Elephas maximus indicus: one gene and its partners. The main gene of each other region encodes a partner of the protein of the gene in region 3 in a complex. Links are inferred from orthologs where the notes say so. Each region holds a gene or a part of one and is shown on either strand. Other genes may lie near its edges. The genes, in order: MBIP, TADA1, TADA3 and TAF4.

Region 1 (6,934 bases), on a different chromosome or scaffold from region 3:
ACAAAATAAAGACAAGTGGTGCATGAATTCAAATATAGGTCTTATCAGGTGTGACTATAAAAATTACTGTACAAGGAACCAGAGATGCAATGTATCCAATAAAAAAACACTATACTAAAAGAAAACTTTGAAACAAATTCATTGTCCTTTGAACATGAGATCAGAAGCATTTAAAGTTCACATTAGACAAGTTTAAAGAAATAGAAATTTTTATGTAGGCTGTACTGGCAAAGATTAATGCCTCTTAGTTTACATTCCCTTAACGTCTTTCATAAAGAGTTTGTTAGACAACAACTTTTGTATGGAAGTAAACTACTACTACACTTTTACAGGCCTCAAAGAGATCTATAGCAAGTAGAACAAATTTATGAATATGGTTTGGAGTAAAGCAGGCAAATTCTCAACCAAAGCAAAGCATCAAATTTTCTAGAGAAAAGAGTAACTTAGGGAAAATAAAAATAAATGTTTGGATCGTATTCTCGTTTCAATTCAACACAATTATGAAAGCCTTCAAGTGCAATAAGGATACTTGGTCTTTCAAGAAAGCCATATAATAATGTCATGAATTAACTTGAAAACTATCCTAATACATTCAACTATCTAATCAACAAATTTTCTCTGCATTTTACCCTATAGAATTTGTAGTGGTACACCATTCACTCAAAAATCTATATTAGTCTGCTATTAATATAGGCCAATTAAATATGCATTTTCAGTCAGTCAAAACTTCATTAATAAGACAATCCAAGCTAACAATAAACAATTCTTTAACTTGGTAAAACGGGCCATCCGGAGGCAAGCAATAAGGTTAAACTTGGCAAAAATTAGTACATTTTTCAATCTGGGATAGAAATACTTTTTAAAGTTCAATTTTATGCTTCCTATTGAAGAGAACCAATAATACAATGGCATTATACAGAATGAGTTTAGGCATATATTTTAAATCCTTCAAACCTGTTGCAAAAGGAAGCAGTGATTTCCCCTGAAGTGATTTTATAAGTATTATAATACTCTGGTTTTTATTCTTATCTTTAAATAATATGTCTCAAAATTGAAAGAATATTACCAAAATGATTAGCATTTAATTGACGAGACAATTTTATTTTTGACACTTGTATAAAAGATTCCCTCACTGCGTCATGTAAACTCACCAAATATTTATATTAAACATTTCTGACAGGTGACAAGAGTAGATTTTAATCACATCTCTACTGTACCTACAGAATACCTGAATGTTTACAATTTTTAAATGAATTTGAAAAATTCAGAACACGAAATTAGAAAGTTTAAATCATTCCTCAATGTTGATTTTTATAAATATTCCATTACTGAATCAGAAATACCTTCTGTAAATAATAGGATAAACTTTTTTCATCCTGGCATTAGAGTATGACTAAACTTTAAATTTCTAATAGCCACACCATAAAAATAAAAAGTTCTCTAACTTTTAAAACATTTAGAAGTCTTGGGTCTTAAGGCTAAAATGTTAACAATAATTAATCAAAAGTCCTCAAGTCTTCATAAATATTTTTTGGTCTTTGGCAAGTAACCAAGTTTAAAAGCTATATTCTACCTTTTAGCAGATTCCATTAATAATTGTTCCATTATACCAAGCTGAGTGTTTAAAGTAATGCTCTTTGTAAATCATGACAAGCATGCTAGAATTTTTTTTTAAATATTGAAATAACTTTAAAAAATTAGTTCTCCATATACTGAAGGCTTTAAAAAATAATTTCCATAAATTGGACAAATGCTTTATTTTCTTAAGAATTAACCGTTATCTTCAACACAGACGTCTGCTGTGTCTACTTGACCACAGGCATTACTACCAGTTCCAGAACAAACTTGTATAGCTAGAAAGTGTTCCATCTAAGATACAAAATATTTCCTTTTAGAAAGTAGGCAAATAAACATCTCTTCAGGTTGTTTTTCATTTAAAATTTGCTTTGAATTGTAATTGAAACCAAACAGTGAGTTGATCCGAACAGAGTAAGGAGCTCATTTCTTTCAAACCCAATTTTACTAAGACATTTATGCAAGTTATTTATCAGTTAGCCTAGTTAATAATTAAAAGAAGAGCTCTCATGCAAACAGATTAACCATGGGCAACCCATCCAACTTTATGCTGTAAGTATTTTCGATTAATTCCTTTTATTTTCCTCCCCGTCTGAAAGCGTAATAGATGCAAATGATGTCCAGAAGCAAAAAACAAAAAAAAAACAAGTGACTCATAAGAGCAAATCGACCCAAAAACGGTACAGTGAGCGCTTTCCCACAATCTCAGGCCGCACTAACTAGCCAATTTCTAAAAGGAACTGGAGGAAAAAGAACTCAGCGTCAGACGCCTCCCAAACCGTTAGAGAAGCTTTTCCGCATTCACTCTCTCCGAGAACCAGGTTTTCATTTACACTGTCCTCACTCACTCTACGGGAGAATAATAACATCCACTGCCGTCGAGTCGCTTCCGACTCACAGCGACCCTATAAGAGAACAGTTGCAAGGAAATCTAGTTTGCAACCGGTCCCTGCAACTAAGTCTGTGCAGCCATCCTCCTCCCTCCGCCGGGAGGCGGCAGGGGCCGGGGTTCCTCCCCCGGCCTGAGCCGCTCCCGCTGCCTGCAGCTTGCTGCCCTCGGCGGCCCCCGCCCTTAACTACAGGGAAAAGGGGGGAGGGGCCGTACGGTTCCCACGCTCTGCTCCCTCAGGTCACTACTCACTTGTTCAGCCAGGGTTCGCAAGGAGCGAAAGGTTTCGCAGAGCGCCTCTCGGCAGAGGCTGGGGCTGCAGCTCCGCTCCGAGCTCCTGTCACTGCTGTTCGGGCGACTAAGCTCCGTGGCGGCAGCAGCCATGACACCTTCCCCGGCAGCCCCCACCACTACCCAGGCGCGTTCGCAGCCCCCTCCCTCCAGTTTTTGCCGCTCGAAAATGACGTAAAAACACCGCGTCTTATTTAGATCGTGGTTTTTAGGCTCCCACCGTTTCTGTGTGACTGGCAAGCACGGGCACCAATCAGGTGATCAGCCAGTGTGGCGCGGTGCCTAGAATCGGGAGCCGGCAATTGCTGACCAGAGCGAGGCCGGATGTTGTATCTGGGATGGTGATTGAAGCAGGGGTTTAGAGTTTGCGTCTTGAAACGTACCTTGACTATTAGATGGTGTTTATGAATGTCGGTAAGAGGACATTTATCATTAAATGTTAGAGTTCGAGCCTCAGAATTACAAGTTGAAATTTTAACATGCCAGTGTGTAGTGGTCTCAGGAGAGATCGGGTTCAGGTCTAGGGCGGTGTCCGCACGTGTTTCTAAACGTTGGATAACTCACACAGAATTACCATAACTGGATAGAATGTGCTCATCTCTACAAGCTTGTTTAATACTTACACAAATTAACGCCAGTAATTTTTCATGCGGGGCAAAATGAGGATGTAAAAACAAAAGTGTTCCGTTGTGCCTTCGTTTTACTACCAAAGGAATGACAATAATGACTTTAAATCTGCAAATAATTTATATCAGGTTTTAAGACGTGCACCAGTTGCTAGTTTCTGGGTGGTGCGGTAGAGACGTTCAACCCTAAAATTGTTTCAAGGAAGTGCAGTGGTCACTATGATTCCAGCAGGAATTTAACCTAAGTAATTCCATGCAACACAAACTTTGAAATTAGGACATAAAACTGAATTAAACTTTGACCAAGTGTTATTTATCAAATAGCTTTATTATAAAGAAGCTCGAAGGACTTTGTAATCTTTCAGGCAAAGTCTATCACTAAAAAAAAAATTGTCCAACTGAAAAAATAAGTCTTAGAAGAAAGTTCAAAAACACTTAAAAAAAAAAAGCAGTATCAATTTAAAGACAAGAGACAAGGGACTTAAAACTCTTAATTCTAATAGTCTAATGCATTTACAGTACAGGGGACAAAGATGGAAACTTGTACAATGTGTATTCTTCAGTTTTAGAGGAGGCTGAATGAAAGGGAAGGAATAGGGCATCAAGGAACTGGGATAAGGGTAACCAGCTAACCGATAAGGGTAGTAGGGTTAAAAGAACCCTTTGACCTGTCCCTAGGGAGCCTCTTAATTAGGCTTTTATTTCCAAAGACTTGTGGGATCACCAGGCTTGACAGGATCTTAAGAAATCTTGCCTGTTCCCTTGTTAGCAGACAAGATATACAGCTGATAGTCCACTTATGTCTAGAGATATCCAGAAAAAAATTTCACAGTATCTAATTCCAAATTGAGCAACCCTCTCATTTAAGTCTCTCACCCCTTCTCTAACGCAAATATATGATTTCTTTGCAATGTTAGAATATTTTCTTTGACTCTGGTCCTCTAGTTAAAGGAGAATATTGTAATAGGTAACTACAAGTTTTTGTTTCTATAGCAAATTAACAACCAGTTTCAGGTCATTTATTATCTATATATGAGATTTTTTTTCAAATATGTAGATTACTGGTATGAGACACATTTAGAAATATTTTGTACATTAAAACAATACCATCCTTAACAAGATTTTGCTCATTCCTTTCTTTGCCATCACTGACTTTGAAATTTCAAGTTTTATTTGTTCACTTGAACCCCTAATACAAAATTAAATGGTGCCCATTTGATTTGTATTATCTCACTTCTCCATGTAATTTTGTGTTTGATATCTGGACTTCTACCTTTATCTTAGTATTTACTTTGGTAATAGTTGGGATTTGTTAACTCATTTGTAGTGTCTTCTTTCCAGGGATCTTTCTTATGCCTTCCTGAGGCATATTATTTACATTTTGGAAATTTTTCTCATTTCTTTTTTCCTTCTTATAATAGAAAATTCCATTTTAAATAGAAGAGTTCGTAGGCTGAAAAGATGTGGATTCCTTTGGCCTAACCTTAAATAGATATTTATAGATATTAACGTGTAACAAAAATAAAATGAAAGCTATGCAATTTAGAAAAGAATAAAGGAAATAATTTATTCTTTATAGGAGACTAATTACAGTTTATGAACTGGGTTGCTAAAAAATGTGCTGCCTGGTGGAAATGATTGAAAAATGTTGGTATTGGTGTTAGCTACAGAGTTAGAAATACTGTCCTGTGAGTTTATGCCAAGAATCAGTTGGAGAGGATAGAAATTATAGGTGAAAACTAGGCTATTTACCTTTTCAACAAAAATGTTCTTTATGATGAACTTTAATTCAGAGCACTATATGCACTTAACAGTTGTTTGCTGAGTGAATGTTATATAGATCTCTCCTAATGCAGAAAAGGCAAAACAAATAGTGTTTGTCGTCTCTGGCTTCCCATCACCTACTGGCGAAGTCCGAGTCCGTTATATTGTCATCTAAGATCCTTATAACCTGACTGTTGCCTAAGTTTCCAGCTTCATTTTCTACCACAAGCCATCTGGTACTTAATGCTCCCCAAACTGCTCTTCTTTATAGCCCTACGATTTCTTGTCTCCATTCTTTTATTCCTGCCTGTTGCTTCTGGTTTGCTTGGAAAACTCTCCAGTTTTCAAACTCCAGTTCAGAAATCTTCTCTGAGAACTCTTTCCTCATACCTCTCCTCATAGAGACTATGTAACCTCTGCTATACTTCTCCTGAAACTCATATATACTTCCATTATTGTACTTAGTGCTTCGATATTGAAATTTGAGTACAGTATGTATTGCTATTTAACTATGAGTATATTTATCATGTTCCTGTACTTAAGACTTGACATAGTTCCTGGCACATAGGACAGAGCAGAGCTGTCCCATAGGGTTTCCAAGGAGCAGCTGGTGGATTCGAACTGGCAACCTTTTGGTTAGCAGCTGATCTCTTAACCACTGCGCCACTGGGGCTCCAGGTGATTTATATGTATCATGTTCCTGTACTTAAGACTTAGCATAGTTCCTGGCACAGAGTAATTGCCCTATGTATGCTTATCGAACTAAATTTATTTGCCTAAGGTAAACATATTTGTAAAATGGAAAAAAAGAAACAAGCTTCCAGTGTTGGGGGAAAATTATAAAATATAGTAAGAATGCTATAAACAATTAATTTAAAATAATGAAGCATGTCTGTCATGGATTGAATTGTGTCCTCCAAAAGTATGTGTTGACTTGGTTAAGCCATGATTCCCAGCGTTGTGTGGTCGTCCTCCATTTTGTGATTTTCCTATGTGTTATAAATCATGATCTCTGCCTGTGGTTAAAGAGGATTAGGATGGGATATAACACCCTTGCTCATGTCACGTTCCTGATCCAATATAAAAGAAGTTTCCCTGGGGCGTGGCCTGTACCACCTTTTATCTTACAAGAGATGAAAGGGAGGCAAGCAGAGAGTTGGGGACCTCATACCACCAAGAAAGAAGCACCAGGAGCAGAGCATGTCTTTTGGACCCAGGGTTTGTGCGTGGAGAAGCTCCTAGTTCAGGGGAAGATTGATAAGAAGGACCTTCCTCCAGAGTCTACAGAAAGAGGAAGCCTTCCCCTGGAGCTGACGTCCTGAATTTGGCCTTCTAGCCTACTAGACTGTGAGAAAATAAGTTTCTCTTTGTTAAAGCCATCCACTTGTGGTATTTCTGTTATAGCAGTGCTAGATGACTAACACAATGCCTGTTTATCCTCCTTTGGGGCAGCAAATTCAAAGTGCTTCAATTTTTAAGTAAATATGTATAAATAGCCTCCATAACCATTCTCATGAATGATACCATATAAATTAACAATTGTACCTACTGTATGCCAGACACTTTGATAGGCCTTGAGGGTACAAAGATGGATCAGACAAGGAACCTCCCTCAAAGAGCTAGGCAGTTATGTCTAGTGGGCTAGGCAGATATATCTACCACCCACCTGTCAATTTGTCATACTGTGGTGGCTCGTGGGTTGCTGTGATACTGGAACCTGTGCCACTGGTATCTCAAATACCAGTAGGGTCACCTATAGTACATAGGTTTCAGCAGAGCTTGCAGACCA
Region 2 (7,660 bases), on a different chromosome or scaffold from region 3:
TAGAATTCTGACAAGTTTCTATCAGGAAGTCCTGCCAACATAATGCTACTATTTTCTCCAACAGCAAACCTTCTGGAGGAAACAGCCCAACGGCCAACACTGCCTAACAGGAGTTGGAAGACTTGCTCCCCAATCCTGGTCCCTGTGTTAAAGTGCTGTATACCCACAAACAAATGGCTATTTTCCTCAACAATACCAGATGGAGCTGGTCTACCTATGAAGATGAGGCTAACGGCAGAGGAGTGTAAGTGGGTCATACTACATCCAGGAAGCATTGAAGATATGATCAAGTCATGAGAAAATTATTTAGTACCTTTGCTGGGTGCTATGTACAAAGTAAGTTAGCTAGCAAAGCCTGTCTTTCCGGAAGCTGACACAGGCATCCGAAGTGTCACAGTCAGGCATAAAGGACATTGGGACCACTGGATAAATAACACACAACTCACATCCTGGCTCCTGACAGGCCTTATGTATTGCACCTAGCCCTAAGGACCACATTTAGATGGTCAGGCTATATAAACCAATGTTACTCTTGAAGGAAAATGTGAGAAACTGTATAGCAGTTGTTCAAACAAGAGGCACTTTTAATAGAAAGGAGAAAAAAAATCGACGAGAGAATGGAACCCAGAACACTACTGTACCATTAACTGCTCCTGACACAAAGGCCTAGTTTGATAGCACTGTCCAGAGGGATTCACGTTACAGATGCACCAAATTCAGCGTCACCTCTGGTACCTGACCAACACCTGCTAGTCAGCTTTGCTCTTAATGACTGCAGAGCGGCCAACTGCAACATCAGCGGCATCTCTAAACCTGCATGTGACTGATGAGCGGGGGATCACAGAGGTCACCACTGAATCTAATCAGGGTTAAAGTCAATCACACACACAAGCTACATCCTTCAGATTTACTGTAGTAGTAAGTACTCACCTTCCAAATATTTGGTAAGTATTCTAGATGTAACAGAGTGAAAAACACCTATTCGTGCTTAAAACAGGATATTCTGTCAGTATGACAAAAATACAAAGCTATAGTAATTAAGAAAGGTAAAAGTTGTCAATTTTACATATTGAAATAACAATTTTTAATTAATTAAACAAGAAAGGAAACAGACTGGAAACAAGAATATTAAAAGATAACTTTATCCCATTGCCATCGAGTCAATTCCGACTCGTAGCAACCCCATAGGACAGAGCAGAACTACTCCATAAGGTTTCCAAGGAGCTGCTGGTGGACTCGAACTGCAGACCTTTTGGTTAGCGGCCGAGCTCTTAACCACTGCGCCACCAGGACTCTTCGGGCAGAACATTATATCCTTTGGGAGTTAATAAATGTTTACAAAAAACTAAAAAATTATGAGAGAATAACAGATTAGACTTTAATACTAGTCTTTGTAGAAGCTTGATTTGTTAGCGTGTGTAATATTAACACAACCTTTAAGAATTGTATTTAGTGTTTATTTATTCCACCTAGGCCATGACTATCCTAGGTGGAATTCTGCATATCTCGTTAGGATGAAGAGCAGAATGTCACACCACCCTGAAATCTCCCAAGAAAAAACTCCAAAACTCACTCACGCATGACATCCAAACTAAGCAACTTCAATCTAGTCATAATAAAAAATACAAAGCAAAGAAAGAATATGAAAAAAAGAAATCTTTGGAGAAAAAGTATTCCCCAAACACCTTGCTTCCCCACCAGCCTCATGTGAAAATGAGCATCTATTTAGTATTCCAAATGCCGAGAACCCCGCAAAAGGCATCCAGCAGCAAAAACACAGATGTTATGATTTTAAGCACTTAAAACTTACTTCCTAAAATTTTGAAAACTAAAATTGCGATAACAGTGTTTCGAAAAATTTCAAACTCATCCTTGTGAGTCTCGGCCTTGGCTAAACATTGCTTTCACACTGGGCCATTCAGCATCTGACCCGATTTCGTACTGGGTCCTCCGCTATGCCTTGGGTGATGGATTGACTGGGCGCCTCTGGAGCCCTGTGGAACCCCTGTGAGAGCATCAGAAATGAGAAAGCGTGGGTTTCAATCCTGGCTGTGTCAAATGGGAATAATTGTACCAACTTCACATCTCTGTTCTGAAAATTAGGTAATACATTTATAATGTTTAAAAGGTGTTTAATAAACGTGAGCTATCCCACTATTATTTCGGCAACGTTCATGACTTATTTTACTCCAGAGTCTTTCTGCCTTCCGAGAGTGCTGTCACTGCTCCTTGCACACAGTGCCTAGTATACTACCTGAGCTCAATTAATGTATTCGCTGTGCACCTCGCACCTTCCCCGGCCGGTGGGAACTGCTGTCCCGCCCTTCAAAGCCTGCCTCACCCCTTCGCCTCCAGGACGTCCCCCTGGGGCTGGCCGCCCTGCGCGCTGCCCGCGCCGGCCTGGGCGCCTTGGGCTCCCGGTCACTGGGCCCCGCCGGCCTCGTGGGTCCGGCAGCCCGGCGCCGGACGCTTAGCGGCTCAGCAAGCCTTTCGGCGTGAAGCACGCTTCTCCCGCCCCGCCCAGGGCAGCGAGCCCCGGGCGAAGGCGCCGCCGGGGTCCCAGAGGGCACCAGGAAGGCCTGGCCCCTTCGGCGGGGTGAGTCTGCGTCGCCTGCCCGGCCCCGGCTCCAGAAGCCCGGAGGCCCCACCGGCCGGGACGCCAAGCTGCACAGGCCTCGGGGCGCCGGGGGGCGTCTCGGCCGCCCGAAGCCAGGAGAGGACCCGGGAGGAGACCCGGAGGCCGCGCTCGGGCAGCTCTTACTGTTTGACGTTGTCCCCCAGGGCCTCGCTCAAGTTCTTCTTGGCCGCTTCCAGCTCGCTCACAAAAGTCGCCATTGCTCCGCACGTCTCAGCCCGACCGCGGAGGGCCTGGCCGCTGAGACCAACAACCAAAAAACCAACTCAGCAGAAGGCCTGGGCCCTGGGAGCCAGTTCGCTACCGTCTGTCCCGCCCCGAGTCTCTCCGAAGATGTTTGGTTTCCGGCTCCGCCCGCCTTTCTGGAAAGATGGTGCCGAGCCAAACGCCGCTTTTTCCCTCTCCTCTGCCTCCTTCCGCCCCTTGAGTCACGTGATTCGCCTCACCTGGCTCCCGGCGCCCAACCTAAACGCACCCGCCCAGCGCAGCCTGCAGTGTCGCCCGGGCTGGCGGCTTCCAGCGGTTTCTAGTCTCTTATGAGTTGACCAGTTCCGAATTCTACCTGTCGTCCTTCTACCTAAAAGAATACCTTCCTCCTTCGGCTCATAAAGTAGATAACCCCTTGCCTTCAAGTAGATTATAACTCGTGGCAACACCATGTGTTACAGAGTAGAACTGCTCCATAGAGTTTTCTTGGCTGGAATTTTTCAGAAGCAGGTTGCCAGGCCTTTCTTCTGCGGAGAGCCTCTGGGTGAGTTCTAACCACCAGCCTTTAGGTTAGAAAAGGATCAAAAACAACTAGTTTTTTCCTTCATAAAAGTAGATACAGGATCAATATTATTTCCTTTCCTTGGGATTAGATTCCCAAGACCCGGCCAAGGCAGTCTTATTTTTTGCTGTTGCAATTAAATATGAATTGCTTTTTCTTATTAATTTTCTCACTTCATCACTTAAAATATAAGTTCCCTGAGAACAAGGATTTGTGTTTTGTTGACCTGAGTTCCTAGAGCAGTGCCTGGCACACAGTGGGTACTCAATATTTGTTGTGTAAATTATTTATGAAAAATTTGGAAAATACACAGAAGGGTAAAGACAAAGGAAAGAAAAAATGTCTTATCAGCCCTGACAAACACTTAAGTGGGAGACGCCCCCCCACCCACCAATAAATTATAATCATATTTTATGTTCAATTTTTTATTTATTTATTTTTTTACTTAATATATTAATACAAGCATTTCCCTGTAGTATCACATTATCTTGGTCCCTAGGTGTTGGAAACAATTTGCAATTTGCCACTAACCTGAAGCTTGGCAGTTAGAACCCACCCAGTGGTGTAGCATGGAAGATAGGCCTGGTGATCTGCTTTCCTAAAGATCCCAGCCAAGAAAACCCTGTGGAGCAGTAGAACTACTCTGTGACACACAGGGTCACCATGAGTTAGAATAGACAGCAGTGGGTTTGGATTCTGGTTTTATTACATTATCTTTATAACCATAATCTTAATAACAACATATTAAATACCCCACAGAGAGAATATATACAATAACTTGTTTTCTAATTGTTAGACTGAATATTGTTTCCATTTTTCTCTCTATTAAAAGCAATAGTATAATAAACTTCTTTATGCATAAAGCATTCTCACATATTAGTGGGTTAAATTAAAAAAAAAAAAAAGTTGCCACAAAGCATATTCCAATTCATGATGGCTTCATGTGTTGCAGAGTAAAACTGTGCTCCATAGGATTTTCAGAGCTGTCAGGTTTTGGAAACAGGTTGCCTTGCCAGGCCTTTCATCCAAGGCACCCGTAGGTGGGTTCAAACCGCCAACCTTTTTTTTTTTTTTAATTTTTCATTGTGCATTCGGTGAAAGTTTACAGAGCGAATTAGTTTCCCGTTTGATAGTTTGTGCACAAAGTGCTCCATAACATTGGTTTCATTCCCCACAATGTGTCCGCACTCTCCCCATTTCCACCCTAGGTTCCCTGTTTCCTTTTGTCCAGATTTTCTACCTCTTCCTGCATTCTCATCTTGGTTTGGGGGCAAATGTTGCCGTTTTGAACTCATATACTTGATTGCTCTAAGAAACACATTCCTCTCATTTGTTATCGTTCATTTTATGGGCCTGTCTATGGTCTGGAAACCCTGGTGGTGTAGTTGTTAAGTGCTACAGCTGTTAACCAAGAGGTTGACAGTTCAAATCTGCCAGGCGTTCCTTGGAAACTGTATGGAGCAGTTACCCTTTGTCCTACAGGGTCTCCGTGAGTTGAAATTGACCTGATGGCAGTGGGTTTGGTTTTTGGTTTGGGTCTATGGTTTGGCTGAAAGGTGGTCTCCAGGAATGGCTTCAGTTCCAGTTCAGAAGGGTGTCTTAGGGCCATAGTCTCAGGGGTTCCTCCAGTCTCTGTCACAGTAGTAACTCTGGTCTTTTTGTATGTGTGAATTTGATTTTTTTGCTCTACAATTTTTCTCCCATTCTGTCTGGGACCCTCTGTTGTGATCCCAGTCAGAGCGGTCAGTAGTGGCAGCTGGGCACCATCTAGTTCTTCTGGTCTCCAGGTCATGTAGCTTGTGGTTCATGTGGTCCATTAGCCCTTTGGACTAATTGCTCCCTTGAGTCTGGTTTTCTTCAGTCTCCATTGCTCCTGATGGTAAGAGACCAACGGTTGTATCTTCCATGGATGCTCTCAAGCTTTTAAGACCCCAGATACTACTCACCAAAGTAGGATGCAGAACTTTGTCTTTATGAACTCTGTTGTGCCAATTGATGTAGATGTCCCCTGAGTCTATGGTCCTTTGCCTCCAAGCCTAGGGATTTCATCCCTGGAGCTGTTTGGTTATGTCTAAGAAGTTGCCCTGATTGTGCTTCTTGTGTGTTCTATTGTTTATATGAACGTATAAGCACTACCTACAGTCATGTATGTAGAAATATCCACCACCAAGCCTATATCTATAGGTGGGTATGTTCCCTTACACCTTCCCATACCTCTCAGCATACCTGTCTACCTATGTATACATTTGTAAATTCATGTTTGGTGATACTCTTGTTGCAGGTTTGTCTACCCACCAACCTTTAGCTTAGTAGTCCGTTTCTGAACTGTTTATACGCCCCAGTGACTCCTAGTGGGTTGAATAGTGGCCCCCAAAAGATATGCCCAAATCCTAGCTCCTGGAACCTATGAATGTGGCCTTACTTAGAAGAAGGATCTTTGTAGGTGTCCTTAAGTTAAGGATTTCAAAATGAGATCTCCCTGGATTACCTGGTGGGTCCTAAATCCAACGGCAGGTGTGAGGCAGAGTGCAATTAGACAGACGGAAGAGGACACATGGGGGAGACGGCCATGTGAAGACAGAGACGGAGACTAGAGTCATGCTGCCACAAACCAAGGAGCATCTGGCCACCAGATGCTGGAAGAGGGCAGGAAGGATTCTCCCCAAGAGCCTTCAGAGGGAGTGTGGCCCTGCTGATACCTTGATTTCCGACTTCGGGCCTCCAGAACTGTGAGAGAATACATTTCTGTTGTTTTAACCCACCAGGTTTGTGGTCATTTGTTATGATAGCTGCTGGAAACTAATACACACATAATAGGACTATTACTTTAGGATTACCCATTGCTGTTGAGTTGATTCCAATTCATAACAATCCAATAGGACAGAGTAGAACTGCCCCATAGGGTTTCCAAGGCTGTAATCTTTACAGAAGCAGACTGCCACATCTTTCTCTCATGAAGTGGCTGGTAGGTTCAAACTGCAGACCTTTCAATTAGCGCCAACCACTTAACCATTTCACCACCAGGGCTCCTTACTTTATGATAGAGTTTCACAAATAGAATTACTGGGCCAAATGTTAGGAATCTTTATGATTCTTGATACATATTTTCAAATTGCCTCAAAGACTTGAAATAATCCTAAATGGCTTTTAAATCTTGTGCAGTTTTTCCCCAGAAGCCCCCTCAAGTTTATTCATTCATTCAACAAATATGCAGTGAGCACCTGTTATGTACCTGGTACTGTTTTCGGTGCTGGGGCTACAAAGGTGAACAAGACAGGTAAAGTCTTCGTCTCTGTGTCATAAAACGCCAGAGAAATTTCCATTTGTTGTTTTTTTTTTTTTTTTTTAAGTAGCCATCCACTTAAGCTTTCCATGGCTGCCTATTGACTACTCAATAAACTTGTCTCTCCCCTGGTTTTTGAATTTTCTCATGACCAGGACTCAGCCTACCCCTGCCCTCCCCACACTTACACACAGCACTGTAGTCACCTGACTTCCTATAACAAACCACATGACTCAGTACCTGTACAAACGTTCTCTCCTCTGATTGTTTTGAGGCTTACGGGTGGCTGCATCCATTTTTTTCAACCAAGTTCAAACATATAGATGAACCTATTAAGGAGACAATTCAACAGGACTAGCAAAGGACACAGCTGTTTGGGTTTATCTCCCACCAACAGTCTGCATCCCCATCTCTATATGCTGTGTGGTGATGGTAGTATGCTGTTGAGTCAATTTCGACACGTATGGACCCCATGTGACAGAGTGGAACTTCCACATAGGATTTTCTCCCAGCAAGCAGGTGGTGGGTTCAAACTGCTTATCTTCTGGTTAACAGCCAAGCAATCAACCATTGTGCCACCAGAGCTCCTTCTTACTTTAGGATAGAGGCCCAGAAATAATCTTTAATCTGTAATCTTTACAGGAGCAGATCACCAGGTCTTTCTACTGTGGAGAAGCTGGGGGGTTCCAATTGCCAACCTTTCTGTTAGCAGCCAAGCGCTTAACCATTGTGCAACCAGGGCTTCTTTCTCTCTATGTACCTATTCGCTAAGAAAGATATTCCTCAAAGATGTTCTTTTGAACATGCTTGACAACACGCATACCTCTATACATCTAAAAACAAAACAAAAAAACCATTGCTATCAAGTCAATTCCAACTCATAGCAACCCTATAGGACGCAGTGGAACTGCCCCATAGTGTTTCCAAGGAGTGGCTGGTGGATTTGAACTGCTGACCTTTTGGTTAGCAGCCG
Region 3 (6,859 bases):
TCACGTCCCAGGACATGTTAACCCTGGGGAAGTATTCTGGTGGTAACTTTTTGGCGAAGGCAAGCAAGTCTCCCAGCAACCTTTTATTTCAAACGTCACCACAGCTGGGAAGTGTTCATCATACCAGTCACTCAACTTCTTAGATGATCAAATATAACTCTGTGCCACAGCCCTGCTCAAAATCTATCATGGATTCCCAAGGGCCACAAGTTACATCTATATATCCTGTGAGGCCCAGTGGAAATGGCATCCCCCTCCTTTGTGAGACTGGTGCTTCAGACCTCCACTGCAGACCCAAACATGTTGCTTGGTCATACTGGAATATGGCACACCCTCTCACTTCAGCTAGATTATAAACTACTAGAGACTGGAAGCTCATCTTCACTATCTCCATTGCCCAGGATCTGGCATGGTGCCTGGGACATAGGACTTGAGAGACATTTATATAGTGAATAAAAATAATCAAAGTAGAGTCAATAAATAACACTTGAAATGCTTCCTAAGTGTTAGACATAGAGCTGAGTCCTTGCAAGAATTCTTTTTATCCTCACTAAAAAAAAAAAAATTTTTTTTTTTTTTTTTAATGCTCTTAGGTAGGTCCTGTTACTGAGCCCATTTTGCAGACGGGGAAATGGATGCTCAGCAGAAACGTGAGGTAACTTTTTGAAGGTCACATAACTAGGAAGCAACAACAGTAGCAAGAGCTCAGTCCAGGATTCAAATCCAGATCTCCCTGCTCCGGTTCTCCTAGTATCCCTAACTACAACACGTTATCTGGTACGTGTCTGACCTCCCCCACCCTTTAACTGGCGAGTTGCCTGAGGACCAGAATTGTCTTAATTACTCCTTTAATTATTAGCACATGACTCAAAACGAGAAAAAAACTCATTGCCCTGGAGTGGATTCCCTCTCACAGGGACCCTACAGGACCAAGTAAAACTGTCCCTTAGGGTTGCCAAGGCTGTAAATCTTTAGGGAAGCAGATTGCCACATCTTTCTCCCTAGGAGTGGCTGGTGGGCTCGACCTGCTGATCTTTCAGTTAGCAACCGAGTGCTTTAACCACAGCACTACAAGGGCTCCTTCAGCTCATAATGGGGGGTAAATAAATGCTTAAACAAAAAACCAAACCCATTACCACCGAGTCGATTTTGACTCATAGCAACCCTATAGGACAGAGTAGAACTGCCTCGTAGACTTTCCAAGAAGTGTCTGGTAGATTCGAACTGCCAACTCCTTGGTTAGCAGCCGTAGCACTTAACCACTATGCCACCAGAGTTTCCAATAAATGCTTAGTGAATTATAAATCTTGCAAGTTATGAGGATCACGCACAATCTTGCAGATACAATACGCATGAATGTGCATGATCTTCATAAACTGCAAAACCTGTAATTCACTAAGCTTTTACCTTACCCCCACGTCCCATCCTTCTACCTCCCAACCCCCAACGTGCTGGGTCCTGTATTAGTCTACACACCCCCATAAGGCCCTGTACCCCAAGCCCCAGCAGGTGGAGCTAACTCAATGTCCCATCCTGCTATCTTGTCACAGTCCACCCCTGGCAATCCCCCCGCTCCATGACAAGGTCCAGCAGGTGGGGTATCACCTGGGTTTCTGCCTCCAGCACCCGTAGGCGCCGGCTCGCAGAGGAGAGCAGAGTCTCAAGCTCCAGCTGCAGGGTGTCCAGTTCCTCAATGCCAATGCCATCATCCTCGGAGCGGGCCAGCACTGCCGTGTAGCGGGGACAGACCTTCAGGTGGTCCACAGACTTGAAGTCATGGAACTGCAAGGGGCAGTCCTTCAGCTCACTCATGGCCCAGGATACGGAGCCCTGTGTAGCTGGAGAGTAAAGATTGACGAGGGACAAACTGTCACGAGAAAAGCCCAAGGGCTCCTTCCACTAGAGAGAGCTTCAACAAGGAAGTCAGATTTCAGTACCTTCTGACAATGCTGGTGGCTCAGCTCCTACTCACAGAGTACCCACTGTGTACCAAACTAGGTGCAGAGTACTTATAGGCTTATCTTGTGGAATTCATCACCCAACCCCAGGAGCAACAACCATTGTCATCTCTGTTCTACAGACAAGGAAACTGAGACTCTGTAAGGGTGGGCACAGGCCTAAGCTTACAGAAATGCAGTTTGAACCCAGGAAGTCTCATGTCTGTGGCCCTAATCACAACAATACAATGTACCCTGTTTTCCTGACACTGTTCCTTTTTGTCTCATCTCTCCTGGTTTCCAAGCATCTCATTTTTACAAAGTTTTCTGTGCTTCCCATGCTCTCCGTTGCCCACCTCCCCTTACCCAATTCTCTTTATCTATGTCCCTGATAGTGTCAGGAATGTGCGCTGGGTACCCAAGCAGCCCTGAGTTCAAGCTCAGCTTTTACCATTCTCTGCTTGTGGCCCTGAACATGTTATTTAATCTTTTTCCATCCGTAAAATGGGGACAAAAGAAGACAAGTCTATTTGTCTCTCTGAATCAGTTTCCCAGTCTGTAAAATGGGGATAACAACAGTACATACCTCCCTGGGATGTTCTGAGGATTAAGAGATGAGGCCCGTCAAGAGCTCAGCTCAGTGCCTGGCACAGAAAAAGTGGGACTGTTATAATGACTGGCTTCACCCATGGGTCGCCCCGTGCCCGCCCTCTAGGTACCCTCTAACGCGGCCCCCGCCCCCTCTACCTCCTCACTGCTGCCTCCTACGGCCCGGGGCCGCGGGAGGGGGAGAGGAGTTCCGGTCGGTGGGAGCAACCGCCCCGGAACTGGCGATGGGCGGGCCCCCTGCAGTTCGCCCGGGGGCGGGGAGACGGCTCGGGCAATCCCACTGTGGCTCCAAGAGGGGGTGCAGACCGCCAGCAAGGCCACTGCGGGTGGAATGGTACCCTTAGGGCGTACCCTAGAAAGCCTGGGGCTAGGGGCGGGGCTCAGCGGCCGGGATCTCGGCGCCAGGCGGCAGTTAGTCCCGGGGGCTGCAGGTAGGAGGAGCCGGGAGAAAGGATAGGGGCGCAGAACCGGAAGGAACGAAAGGATTCACCTCCTCACCCTGTCCTAATATGGTGCCCAACCTGAGACTGGGATGTACCATTGCATAACTATAGGAAGAGATTGTGGCTAAGGCGACAAGAAGGCCAAAGGCATAAGCGAGAACTATATGGATACCTGGAAAAGCTTGAGTTTCGATTTGCAACTTCCGTAGTCCAATACCATGATAGTTCTAGCGGGAAAACTTGCCAAGGATCTAAGTGTTCCTAGGATCCTCCTCCCCCCGCTCTGGAGCGGAGATAGTATCGTCCGGAAGTCCGGGCGGAGACTGCGGCTGCGCTTCTCGAGAAAGGGCAGGCGTCGCTGGGCCGGCCACTTCCGCACTTCCGCTTTCCGGCGCAGCCAGAGCCCGCGATGGTGAGAGAGCCGGGACCCGGGCCAGGGACCCCCGCCGTTCTGCTTCAGAGCTCTGGGTCTAGGGGAGACGCAGCTTTGCAGCAGAGGAGGCGCGGGGCCGAGGGATACCGGGGAGTGTGGGGGCGCGATGGGGCTGGGAGAAAGAGGGTGGGGCGGGGGCTGCTGTGAGGAGGAGGTGAGCGGTTGAGGGGGACGCCCTGGTAGGAAGCAGGCCTGTCGCTTCATGGTCCGGCTCCCGGAGCAGGTCGGGAATACTCGAGGCAGGGAGGAAGCCGGAAGTGGGACCTCCTAGGCCTGTGGAAGGCAGACACGTAGTAGGCCTCATAGCCCGTAGTAGGGCCGCTGAGGCATGTAGAAGGGCCAGCTCCCCACCCATAGTAGAACTGCAGTAAGTACACATAACTTTTCGTCTCCTAGCCAGTTGACCCCACCATTTCCCAAAGGAGGCGTTCACACTTCCTTATCCACTCTTCTTGGTACCCCAGCGCTGCTGCTACCCCACTGAAGGATCCGTTTGTGTTGCTTCCTCTCAGGCCCGGCCCTGGTCAGAACTGAACAGTGTCAGCCTTACTTTAGGATATGATACTGCTGATCCCTCCCTCCTTGGAGATCTTCCGTTTGATAAACGTGGTCGTTTCTGGGAGTTGTGACTTTGGCTCACTACCTTCCTCTCTTTACACTTCCTGGTGACACCTGTGTAGTCTCATGGCTTCAGTGACCTTGTGTATTTGGTGAGTCTTGAATCTGCCTCCCTTGCTCTGGCCTCTCTATCAAGGTTCTTTTGGAAATCTTGAACATACCTGGAAATCAGATCTCCAGATCAAAACTCATCTACCCTCCTAAACTTGCTTGATCTTCACCTGTGTTCTCTTTCCTAATTTTGTGTCCTCTCGGACCTCAGCTAGAACCTGCGAGGTTTTGTGTGTTTTTTTAACTCTTGTAATTGGCTCTTTTAAAGCAAGTTTATCGAGGTATTAGAAAAAAACTATGCCTATTTTATTAACGAAAGGGCAGGGGCGGGCCACCTAAAATTCACCGTTTTTAGGTTTAGATAGATAAGTAGCTGCTGTCGAATGGACTCCAACTCAAGGCAACCTAATGCAGAACAGAATGAAATGTTGCCTGGTCCTGCGTCGTCTTCACAATCATCTGCATGTTCAAGTCCATCATTGCAGTTCTTGTGCCAGTCCATCTCACTGAGGGTCTTGCTGGCCCTCTATTTCACGAAACGTGATGTTCTCTTTCAGCTGTTGATCATCCTGATGACATGTTGGACAGTGTTCTTTTGTGATTCATAAGGTTTTCATTGGCTAGTTTTTGGAAGTAAATCGCCAGGCCTTTCTTCCTGGTCTTCTTTAGTCTGGAAGTCCACTGAAACCTGTCTATCATGGGTGCCCCTTCTGGTATTTCAAATACCGATGCAGTAGTACAGCAAATTGACAGGTGGTGGCTTTTACCATGTGTGAATTTAGACAAACACAGGCATGTAACCACTACCACAGTCAACATTTAGAACATTTCTGTCATTCAAAAAAGTTTCCTTAAGCCCCTTTATAATGTCTTTTCCTTCCCCCCCACCTTAGGCAACTGCTGATTTTTTTTTTTTTGTATAGGTTTATTTCTTACGGAATGTCGTATAAATGGAGTTCTTTATTTTGTAGTCTTTTTAGTCTGGCTTCTTTCACTTCCCATAATACATTTGGAAGTCATTCATGTATAGTGTTCCATCATATGGGAGCACAGTTTTGGGCAGTTGTTTGATCCTCTTATGCTCTACATCTGTTAGTCTAATCTCTGTGATACCCTCTTTCTCCACTGCCCCAGGCCAGGCTCTCAACAGCACTTCTTAAATACCCCTTTCTGCGTTATGTCTCACTTCCCCCTCTAATCCATTCTCTGCAGAGCCACCATGCAGCTGCAGTCATGTAACTTCCTCCTCAGAAAGCCCCAACAGTCCTTACTGCCCCAAAAAAGCTGAACTCAGTAACTTGGCATTTGAAAATCTCCACGATCTTGCCACCTCTTTTACAGAATCAAATTCCCATATACAGCAACATTGTAGTCATTACCACTTCTGGAACTCTTAATACCCCTTTGTGTCATTCTAACTTTGCTGACGGTATTTCTGTCATTCATTCATTCTATAGAGAATGAGTAAGGCTCTTTGTGTTAGATACTGCTGACGTTATCGCTGTCATTCATTCACCCTACAGAGAATGAGTAAGGCTCTTTGTGTTAGGTAGTGAGCTAGATGCAGGATATATTGCTGTGAATAAACCAGACACGGTCTCTTCCCTCATGAGGCTTAGAGTTTGTGAAGGAAAAACTACAAAAGACAAGAAGAATGTGCCATCATGAATTGTAATAAATACTATAAAGGAGGAAAACCTGAGACATGAGATTGAATACAGTGGAGAGGCCTTTCTTGAATAAGCGGAGGTGGAAAGGTAGTTAGGCAAAGAGAAGAGAAATGTCTTATCAATAGATGGATCGGCATGTGGGAAGCCCTGGGGTGAGGAAAAACTTGGTTAATGTAAGGAACTGAAGATAGGCCAATGTACCTGGAAGGTCTACTGGGAACGTTCTTGTTCTATTTTTTGCTTTTAAATCCTGCTAATCCTATCTCTATCTTCAAATCAAACTCAGTTTCTTCTGCAGGTGGATTACTTATAAATCTAGTTATTTCACATTTCTTTGTATCATAGTCATTTACTTCGGTGTCTCCCCGACCAGGTTGAGAGAAATTTGAAGGTAGAGCTGGTCTCGATCATCTTGAATCCCCAGCACCTATTTCAGTGTGTAAGGAGCCCTGGCAGTGCGATGGTTAAGAGTTCAGCTGCTAACTGAACGGTTTGAACCCACCAGCCGCTCTGTGGGAGAGAAAAAACGTGGCAGTCTGCTTCCATAAAGACTGCAGCCGAGGAAACCCTGTGGAGCCCTTCTCTGCCACGGGGGGTTGCTATGAGTCGGAGTCGACCTGATGGCAGACCACAACAGCTTAGTGCCTGGCACAGAGTAGTAGAGCTATACATTGTTGGCTCAGGGGACAGATTGAGGACACAGTCGCTCACCTTTATGTCTGGAACAGAGTTTCTCAACTTGGCACTATTAACATTTGAGGCTGGCTGAGCCTTTGTTGTGGGGGCTGTCCTGTGCATCATAGGCTGTTTAGTGCATCCCTGGTCTGTAGCCACCCGACGCCAGTAGCACCCCGCCTCCCAGTTGTGGCAATCAAATATACGGCAGTGTTGCCACATGTCCTCTGGGGGCAAAACCCTGCCACCAGCACTCTAGACTCAGTGCTTTGAGGGCCAGGCCCGTTCTGTTCACTGTGGTGTCTGAGAGCCAGGGACCCATATGCAAGCACCCTTGGTACTGTCTGGCTCCAGTGTTAGCTAGAGAGGAGACTACCAGTGGCTTTGGGTGGGGGGAGTTTATGGATTCTGACCCTCCCTGTT
Region 4 (7,255 bases), on a different chromosome or scaffold from region 3:
TTAACCCTCCTCCTCTTCTAAAACTCCAAAATTGTTCCAAAGCGACAAGTCCTGCTCCAGAGAGCAGGAGGGGCTGCGGGGGCGGGGGGCGGGGGCAGCATGGGCAGTGCTGTCTTCACTACTGCCACCCTCTACTACAACTGGACCCACCCATGTGACCCGTGAGGGCGGAGCCTCGGCCGAGCCCACAGTCCTGAAGCTGGGGGAGTGGATGGGAAGGAGGAGGCGACTCCTTCTAAGACCTGCCCCAGGCTGGCTGCTGAGGGAATCCCTCACTGTCAAACTTCAGCTGCAGGGCCAGCGGCAGCCTGTGCAGCGAGACGCTGAAGGCTGAGGCAGCTGCTGACCCCAGAGCCTCCCTCTGCAAATGTTCTGGGTTTGAACCACTCTCAGACCCACTGGAGCGTCTGGAGAGCCTCTGACCACCAACGGCTTCCAGAGTTGCACAACTAACCAGGCAGTCCTGACAGTGTCTCTGCTGAACTGAAAATACTGACAGCGTAACAAGTCCAGCTAAGATGATACTCAAGCATGGTTTTCAGACAAGGACGCGACCAGGAAGGACATGTGCCGGGAGGATTGTGCTCAGGCTGAACGGGAGGCTGCAGTGTAGGGGGCCCCATCACCGCAGGCAGAGTGCACACCTCGCCAGCTCCCAGAGAGAGGCCACCCTGCTGCGACAGCACCTTTAGGAGGGGTCTCTCCAGCCCACTGTCGGGACCTCTAGAGCCAGATGGTAAAGGAGCAGGAAGGAGCCAGGTGGGGACACAGGCCAGACACCAGGAAGGGGAAGCCTGACCACCCAAGCTCCAAGTACACTGTGCTCCCGTGACGCCCAACCTCTGGACAACCTGTCCCTGCAATCGCTGCTATTGCTGCCCATGGGGGCAGGGGCACGCAGGGCCAGCCACCCAACTGCGAGTCTGCCACAACCAAACAAGCAATGCAGGACACGCAGTGACAGACCAGGACGTCACGGGTGGGAAACCCACAGCTGCACTGGGCATGCATACGCACACACACCCACAGAGGTGTACTATGCAGAGGTATGATATACACACAGCACACACAGAAGTACATGCACACACACAAGGGTACCTACAGATGCAGGTATACAGGTACAGAGAAAGGTGTGTTACACAGACGTGTACCTACATGCAGATGTACATACACACACAAGCGCACGTACACAGAGGTACGTTACACACACGGGTACACACAGATGTACGTATACACTCGGGTGTACATACACTCATACACGCAGGTATACATACACACGTGAGTGTACATACCTAGTCAGAGGAACTCTACACACACAGAGGTGTGTACACACCCACGGGGTAGATAAGCACACACAAGTATACATGGACGTATACTCATGCCTGTATACACACAAAAGTACCTACAAACACAGATATACATAAACACACACAGACATACACACACATACATGTATATACACACAGGTGTACGTACACACAGATACATAAGCAGGTAATTTATGCACACACCCGAGCATGTACACACATATCCAAGTGTACACAAACACATACATGTACCTACACACACGTGTACATACATGCACACAGCCCTAGCCCGGGCTGCCACAACACCTTTTTAGAGGCTACTACACCTGTGCAGCCCCAGCCCCTACACCGCAGCCAAATAAATCGCCGCCCGCCCTGTAGGACACAGGTGACCTTAGCGTCTCCGTGAGTGAGTAGGGGTACTTCCCGGAACTCCGCGGCTCGCAGACCCGCCCCTGCCCGCGGGGGGCGGCCACTCACCTGGGGGCAGCTGGAAGTTCTGGATGTTGGTGGGGTTCTGCGGCGGCTGCGGCAGGCGCGGGGCCAGCACGGTGGGCGTCAGGGTGGCCCGGAGGCCGGGCGCGGCGGCCGTGGGAGTCCGGGGCGGCAGGCTCGGGGCGGCCGCGCCCTTGGGCAGCGCGGCGGGGGCGCCGGGCGCGGGCGGGGGGCCGGCCGGCGGCACAGTCTGCCCGAGCAGCACGCCTGCTCCCGCGCCCGCCGGACAGCTGGCCGGCAGCGTCTGCGGCGGGGGCGCCGCGGGCACCGAGGTCTTCGGGGACTCGGCCTTGGCGGCCTGCGCCGGCGGCGCGGCGGCAGGGGGCGCGGGGGGCGCCGGCTGACTGTTCACCAGAGGGGCGGCCTGCAGGGCCGGCGCGGCGGCGGCGGCGCCCCCCGCCGGCGCGCCCCCCGCGCCCAGCGCCGCGCCGATCCCAGTGCTGCTCCCGTTCTGCGCGGCGGCGGCCGGGGGTCCCGCGGGCGTGCCGGACGGCCGGGCCGGGGCGGCGGGGGACGCGGCGGCGGCGGCGGCGGCCTGGATGACGGAGCCGGCGGGCTGCGCGGCGCTGACAGCGCCCGCTTTGGCCGGGGGCGGCGCGGCCGCGGGCCCGTTGTTGACCGGCGGCGCGGCGCGCAGCGAGTTCACCACCACGCTGCTCCCATTCAAAGTTTGCACGGCGCCGGGGCCGCCCAGCTTGCCGGCGCGCAGCGCGGGGCCCGCGGCGGGGCTGGCGGCAGGCTTGGCCGGGCCCGCGGCGGGGCTGGCGGCGGGGCCGGGCTCGGGGCCCGCGGCGGCCGGGGCCGGGGCGGGCGCCGGGGCGGGCGCGGGGCCCTCGGACGGCGGCGGGCGCGCGGCGCCGTGGCTGGCGGCTCCGGGCCCTGCAACAACAAGGAGAGAGCGGTGAGGACGCGCGGCGGCCGCGCTGACAGCCCGCCCCGCCTGGCCCCGGCTACCTGCTGCGGGCCGCTCCGGCGGGGCGGCCTCGGCGCCGGCGCTCCCGGCGTGGTTTCCGAGCGCGGCGGCCGCGGCCCGCGCGTCGGGCCTCAGCGGCAGGTGATGGTGGTGGGCCGCGCTGGCCGCCAGCTGCGACTCGAGCGAGCCCACCAGGTCGCTCACCACTTTCTCGTCCACCTCGCTGTTGAAGAAGACCTCGTCCAGCAGATCCGAGCCCGCCGCCATCTTTTTTCCTCGGCCGCCGCCGCCGCCGCCGCTCGGCCGGGGGGGCGGGGCGGGGCCGCGGGCGGGCGCCAGTGCGCAGGCGCAGCCGCGCGCACCGCCCCCGCCCCGCCGCCCGGCGGGCGCCCATTGGCTGCGGCGCGCGCTTAAAAGGCGCGACAAATGGCTGCAAGCGTTAGAGGCCGGGGCGAGGGCGGGCGGCCGGTGGGCTTGGAGCTCGGGGCCGGGCGGCGGGTGCGGGGGGCGGACGGCCGGGTCGGGACGGACTGCGGGGACGGACGAGGCCGGCCGGGGGTGGCGGCGGCGGCGGCGGCCAGCTCTTTGTCTCCGCTCGTTCCAAAATGGCTGCGGCCGAAGCTGACTAGAGCGGGCGGGCTGGCGGGCGACGGAGCGACGAGGGGCGGCCGGGCAGTCCGCCCCGCTGCCGCCGCTTGGAGAGCTCGGGAGGCCGCGCCGGGCGCCACGGGGAGCACGGGCGGGCCCGGGAGCGGTGGCGGAGAGCAGCACCCCGGCTCGGCCGCCATTGCTCCCCGCCAGCGGGCGAGGCTCCGGGCCGACGCCGTGACCGGGCGTGCAGGCCGGCGGTGCTCGGGAGGACGGCGGGGGGCCAGGGGAGCCGGGGCCGGGAGACCCCGGCAAACGCACGGGGAAGCGCCGCCGGAGGGGCGCAGGTGCACGCCCCGGAGACCCCCGCCGCCTGCCGAGGTCTTGGCGGCACCGCTTAAAGCAGGGACCACCAAACGCGCACCGTGAGGGCCGCAAGAGCGCCTGGACACCCCCCGGTAGCCGCTTCTGAGGCACCAGTGGGTGGACGAGGCCTACCGGCCAGACGCGATCACCGGGATGGGTGACATCCGGCGGACAGAGGGGGCAGGGCGGGGACAGATGTGTACAGAGGGGCGACCCTCGCCGGTGGTGGTCACCGGAGGGCGGGCCGGCATCGTGCGCGCTGGCACCCTGAGGGCTATTTCTCCTGCAGTAAAACATGATCGCACTCGGCTGGGTGCAAGCAGCCTTCTACCCTCAATGCTGGGGAACGCGTGGGAACTGGGGCTGGGGGGCTGCGGGGCTGGCCAGACTGGCGGGTCCTGGGAACCGAGTCTGCGCGGACTCCCCTGCTTACCCTCCAGCTGGGACTACCGTGGGCCTTCCCCTCCACTTTTAAGTCAATAAACGAAGTTCTCCGGGGGATGGGACTCTGAGGCTCAAAGGTGACTGCCATGTAATGACCACAGACCCCTCCCCCAGACAGAAAGGTAAGTAGACCAGGTACAAAATAAAATTCGCTGGTATGAAGCAATGGCTTTTGGAAGTACTTTTCTGCTCTTTATTTACTTTGGGCAGGGGAGGGAGAGGTAAATGACCCAAAATGATGTTTAGGAGCCCCTCTACAAAAATATTAAAGTTCCCTTTTTCTGAGTTGTTTTGGTTTTTTTAACCAAAAGACTCGTGTTATTGGAGATTTTTAATGGTTTTCTGATTTTTTTCTTTCTTTTTTTTTTTGTAAAAGCCCAAAACAGTTTCCGCAGAGAACTGCTTTCTCAGTCACTGGCAACACGGAATCACAGGACCTGTCTTTATTGCTGAAGAGACAGTCACCACAGTAAACACCAGTCTCAGCACAGCCAGTGTTGACATAGTAAATGATTTTTCTAACTGCCTTCACAAAAGAGACTGCTCAGCTCTCAAAAACAGAGCCTAAGGGGGTGGGTGGGTGGGTGGGTGTGTGTGTTCCTATTGCAACCTTTCAACCTAACCGACCTATTGATAACAAACACACGATTTTTTCTCCAGGTTTTTTCTCTTGAGAGCAGCAGTAGATAATCATAGCGGATGTTGGAACCAAGGAAAGGTGTCTGGGCAGGGGGTGGGGAGTGTTTTGAATTTTAAACCTGAGTTTTAGCCCCCAGAAGGCAAGGCTTCAGAAATATCCTGAAACTTTGAAAGTAAACTCAAACAAATAAAGATCTTAGCCTAGCCCTTGTGATTCATTCAGGTATTTTTCGGCTCTGCTGTAGAAAGGTCAGGCAGGAAAGTAGAGGAATAAAATGAGCTGGGTTTGAGGAGGCCCCAGGGTGCACCAGGGACTGACCACTGGGGACCTGTCCCAGTATCCAAGGGGCAGCCGGGAGCTAAGAAGACCTCAGCAGGGCAGGTGGTCTGAATCTTCAAACAATAGAAGAAATATGGAGTCTTGTGAAAATCTCTCAATTTTTAAATGTTGACAACTATTTAGAACATTTTGAAGTAGACCAGACAAAACCCATCAGCTGCCTGGTGCCAGCCCCGTGTGCAGCCCCTCAGAATTTAGAGTCAGGAGCAGAGGAATAGCAGCAGCCAGTCCACAGGCAGGACTCAGTGCCCCATGAAGGTGTCACCATACCAGGGTGAGGCCCCGTCACAGGCTCAGGGAACTTGGGCTCTCACATCTGCAGGTCTGCCAATGCAGGAGTGAGAGCTCTGCTAAAGGAAAGGTGAAGACATGGGGTGAGTTGGGGTACAGTGGGTGCTCAGCACTGAGGCCTTGCTCCTGTCAGTTCCCTCCAGCCAGCTGGGCTCCATATGGGCTGGCCTCCAGCTCAGCGTCTGACCAGCCTTCTGCCACCAGGCTTGCCTGGGGGCTTCTCCTAGTCAGGGTGTGCTCCAGCATCGATACATTTCCCGACGTCACGTCAGAGTCTGCCGGAACAACCTCAAGTCCAGCAGTCGCAGGAAGTGTAGTAAGGTCATGGCTCTGTACCCACCCAGCTCACCTCCCTTCCCGGAGGGTCTTCTGCTACTCCCCAGACAGACAGCACACTTTGAGAGGTCAGCTCTGCTTCACCTGGAGAGCACTGCCCACCCAGCAGTTCTCTCCTGATGGGGCAGAGGTGGGCGAATATTCGCCAACTCTTCCGCCCTGGGGACTCAGGCCAAGTGCCTCTGACCATTTCCATCTGGCTTCACTTGGGGCCACAAAGCATCTTGGCTTCTGTGGTTTGCAGGGAAACTCACATCTAGCGTGAAAAGAGGAGAGAGGGATGAAACACGTGTGATATGTGACCACAAATGCTGCGTTGGAACATGGGTCAGGTTTGCTACAAAAGAGAGTTAAGATCCCAGGGCTGCACACCCTCGCTACTGGCAAATGTGCCAGGCTGTGAGCATAAGTGCTGCTTCCCAGGCCAGCAGGTTTGTGGGGCCTTTAATTTATTAAGCAATAAAATGAGGAAAAAGCATGAGACACACAAATACAAGTTTTATCAAGACTCCATGGTTTCAATGCTGGGCTGTGGGGAAGGTGTGCAGTGGCATGTCACCTATACTTTCATTCTCTGTCTGCAATATTACATGATAAAAACAAATTTAAAAAAAAACATGGCTAGATGGCCATTCACCTGGAGGACTTCACCACCCCAGCCAGCAGCACTCCTCAGCCCTGCAGACAGGGATGCTCGAGAACAGATCCGCCTGCCAGGACAGCTTTGTGAACATGTCTCATGACTGATCTGCAAATGCAGATGGCCAGTCTGTCCACTCACAGGGAGAAGGCCTCTCAGAGGTCAGAAGGCACTCGGCCCGATGGCCCCTTTGCCCCAGGAAGCAGGCAGGGGAACCTGGAGAATTAGGCAGTAGCCTCATGGGTAGATCTGGGGTGGAGCCCACCCATCTCAACAGTCCCCTTTCTGGCTCTTTCTTGCCAAGACTCTCTCACCAGGGACAGTCTCAGGTGGCCTCCAATAACAACAGCACTCACTGTGTGGCAGGTTTAGCCTCTTCCAGAGGAGGGAGCCGAGGCTTGGAAAGGTTAAGTAAATGGCCCAAGACATTCCCAGTGGGGGCAGAACTGGCATTGAAGAAACCTGGGACCTGGACTCCAAAGTTCTGCTCAGGCTGCCCCGGCTGACCAGCCCCTCTGGTCCCTCTCTCTAATGATAGTAGGACATCACTGATTAGAAGTCCACTCACTAAATTATAACCACAGACTGGCTGGCTTCTGCTCTGAAGTTGACCCAGATCTCCTTGATGGGGGCCATGGGTGTCTGCAAACTCTTGAGTGACTCATTTACAACAGTCTCTTGGCCTACTGCCATAAATGGCTAATTGCAGCCATTGTGGATGGGTGTAACTGGTTTAACTCAGAGAGGAGCTTACTTCAAAGTTCAGGAGGGAAACTGCCCTCCTTAACCTCACTCCAGCAGGTCGATGTTCCCTAATGTCTCCTTTGCCATCCCAAACTGCAGTCAAGTAATGGCCTTACTTTCAAGTAAGGGGAGCCCTAAGGCACCTCAGCTTC

The links.
Region 1: TADA3 (region 3) and MBIP share a complex: the UniProt entries of both Homo sapiens proteins name them as parts of the ADA2A-containing complex. The link is inferred for Elephas maximus indicus from reciprocal best matches to the Homo sapiens genes TADA3 and MBIP.
Region 2: TADA3 (region 3) and TADA1 share a complex: the UniProt entries of both Homo sapiens proteins name them as parts of the STAGA transcription coactivator-HAT complex. The link is inferred for Elephas maximus indicus from reciprocal best matches to the Homo sapiens genes TADA3 and TADA1.
Region 4: TADA3 (region 3) and TAF4 share a complex: the UniProt entries of both Homo sapiens proteins name them as parts of the TFTC-HAT complex. The link is inferred for Elephas maximus indicus from reciprocal best matches to the Homo sapiens genes TADA3 and TAF4.

Annotation. Positions count from the first base shown.
Region 1 is NC_064828.1:48,670,984-48,677,917, forward strand, and holds the start of MBIP (MAP3K12-binding inhibitory protein 1), read right to left. Parts: upstream 3,008-6,934; 5' UTR 2,849-3,007; coding exon 2,717-2,848; intron 1-2,716. UniProt on the Homo sapiens protein: Inhibits the MAP3K12 activity to induce the activation of the JNK/SAPK pathway. Component of the ATAC complex, a complex with histone acetyltransferase activity on histones H3 and H4.
Region 2 is NC_064821.1:207,693,375-207,701,034, forward strand, and holds the start of TADA1 (transcriptional adapter 1), read right to left. Parts: upstream 3,001-7,660; 5' UTR 2,836-3,000; coding exon 2,762-2,835; intron 1-2,761. UniProt on the Homo sapiens protein: Probably involved in transcriptional regulation.
Region 3 is NC_064838.1:34,766,738-34,773,596, forward strand, and holds the start of TADA3 (transcriptional adapter 3), read right to left. Parts: upstream 3,020-6,859; 5' UTR 2,898-3,019; intron 2,889-2,897; exon of another isoform or gene 2,685-2,888; intron 2,582-2,684; exon of another isoform or gene 2,524-2,581; intron 2,075-2,523; exon of another isoform or gene 1,938-2,074; intron 1,839-1,937; 5' UTR 1,813-1,838; coding exon 1,606-1,812; intron 1-1,605. Other genes in the region: ARPC4 (actin-related protein 2/3 complex subunit 4), read left to right, coding at 3,399-3,401. UniProt on the Homo sapiens protein: Functions as a component of the PCAF complex. The PCAF complex is capable of efficiently acetylating histones in a nucleosomal context. The PCAF complex could be considered as the human version of the yeast SAGA complex.
Region 4 is NC_064843.1:5,834,941-5,842,195, reverse strand, and holds the start of TAF4 (transcription initiation factor TFIID subunit 4), read right to left. Parts: upstream 3,012-7,255; 5' UTR 2,983-3,011; coding exon 2,757-2,982; intron 2,682-2,756; coding exon 1,788-2,681; intron 1-1,787. UniProt on the Homo sapiens protein: The TFIID basal transcription factor complex plays a major role in the initiation of RNA polymerase II (Pol II)-dependent transcription.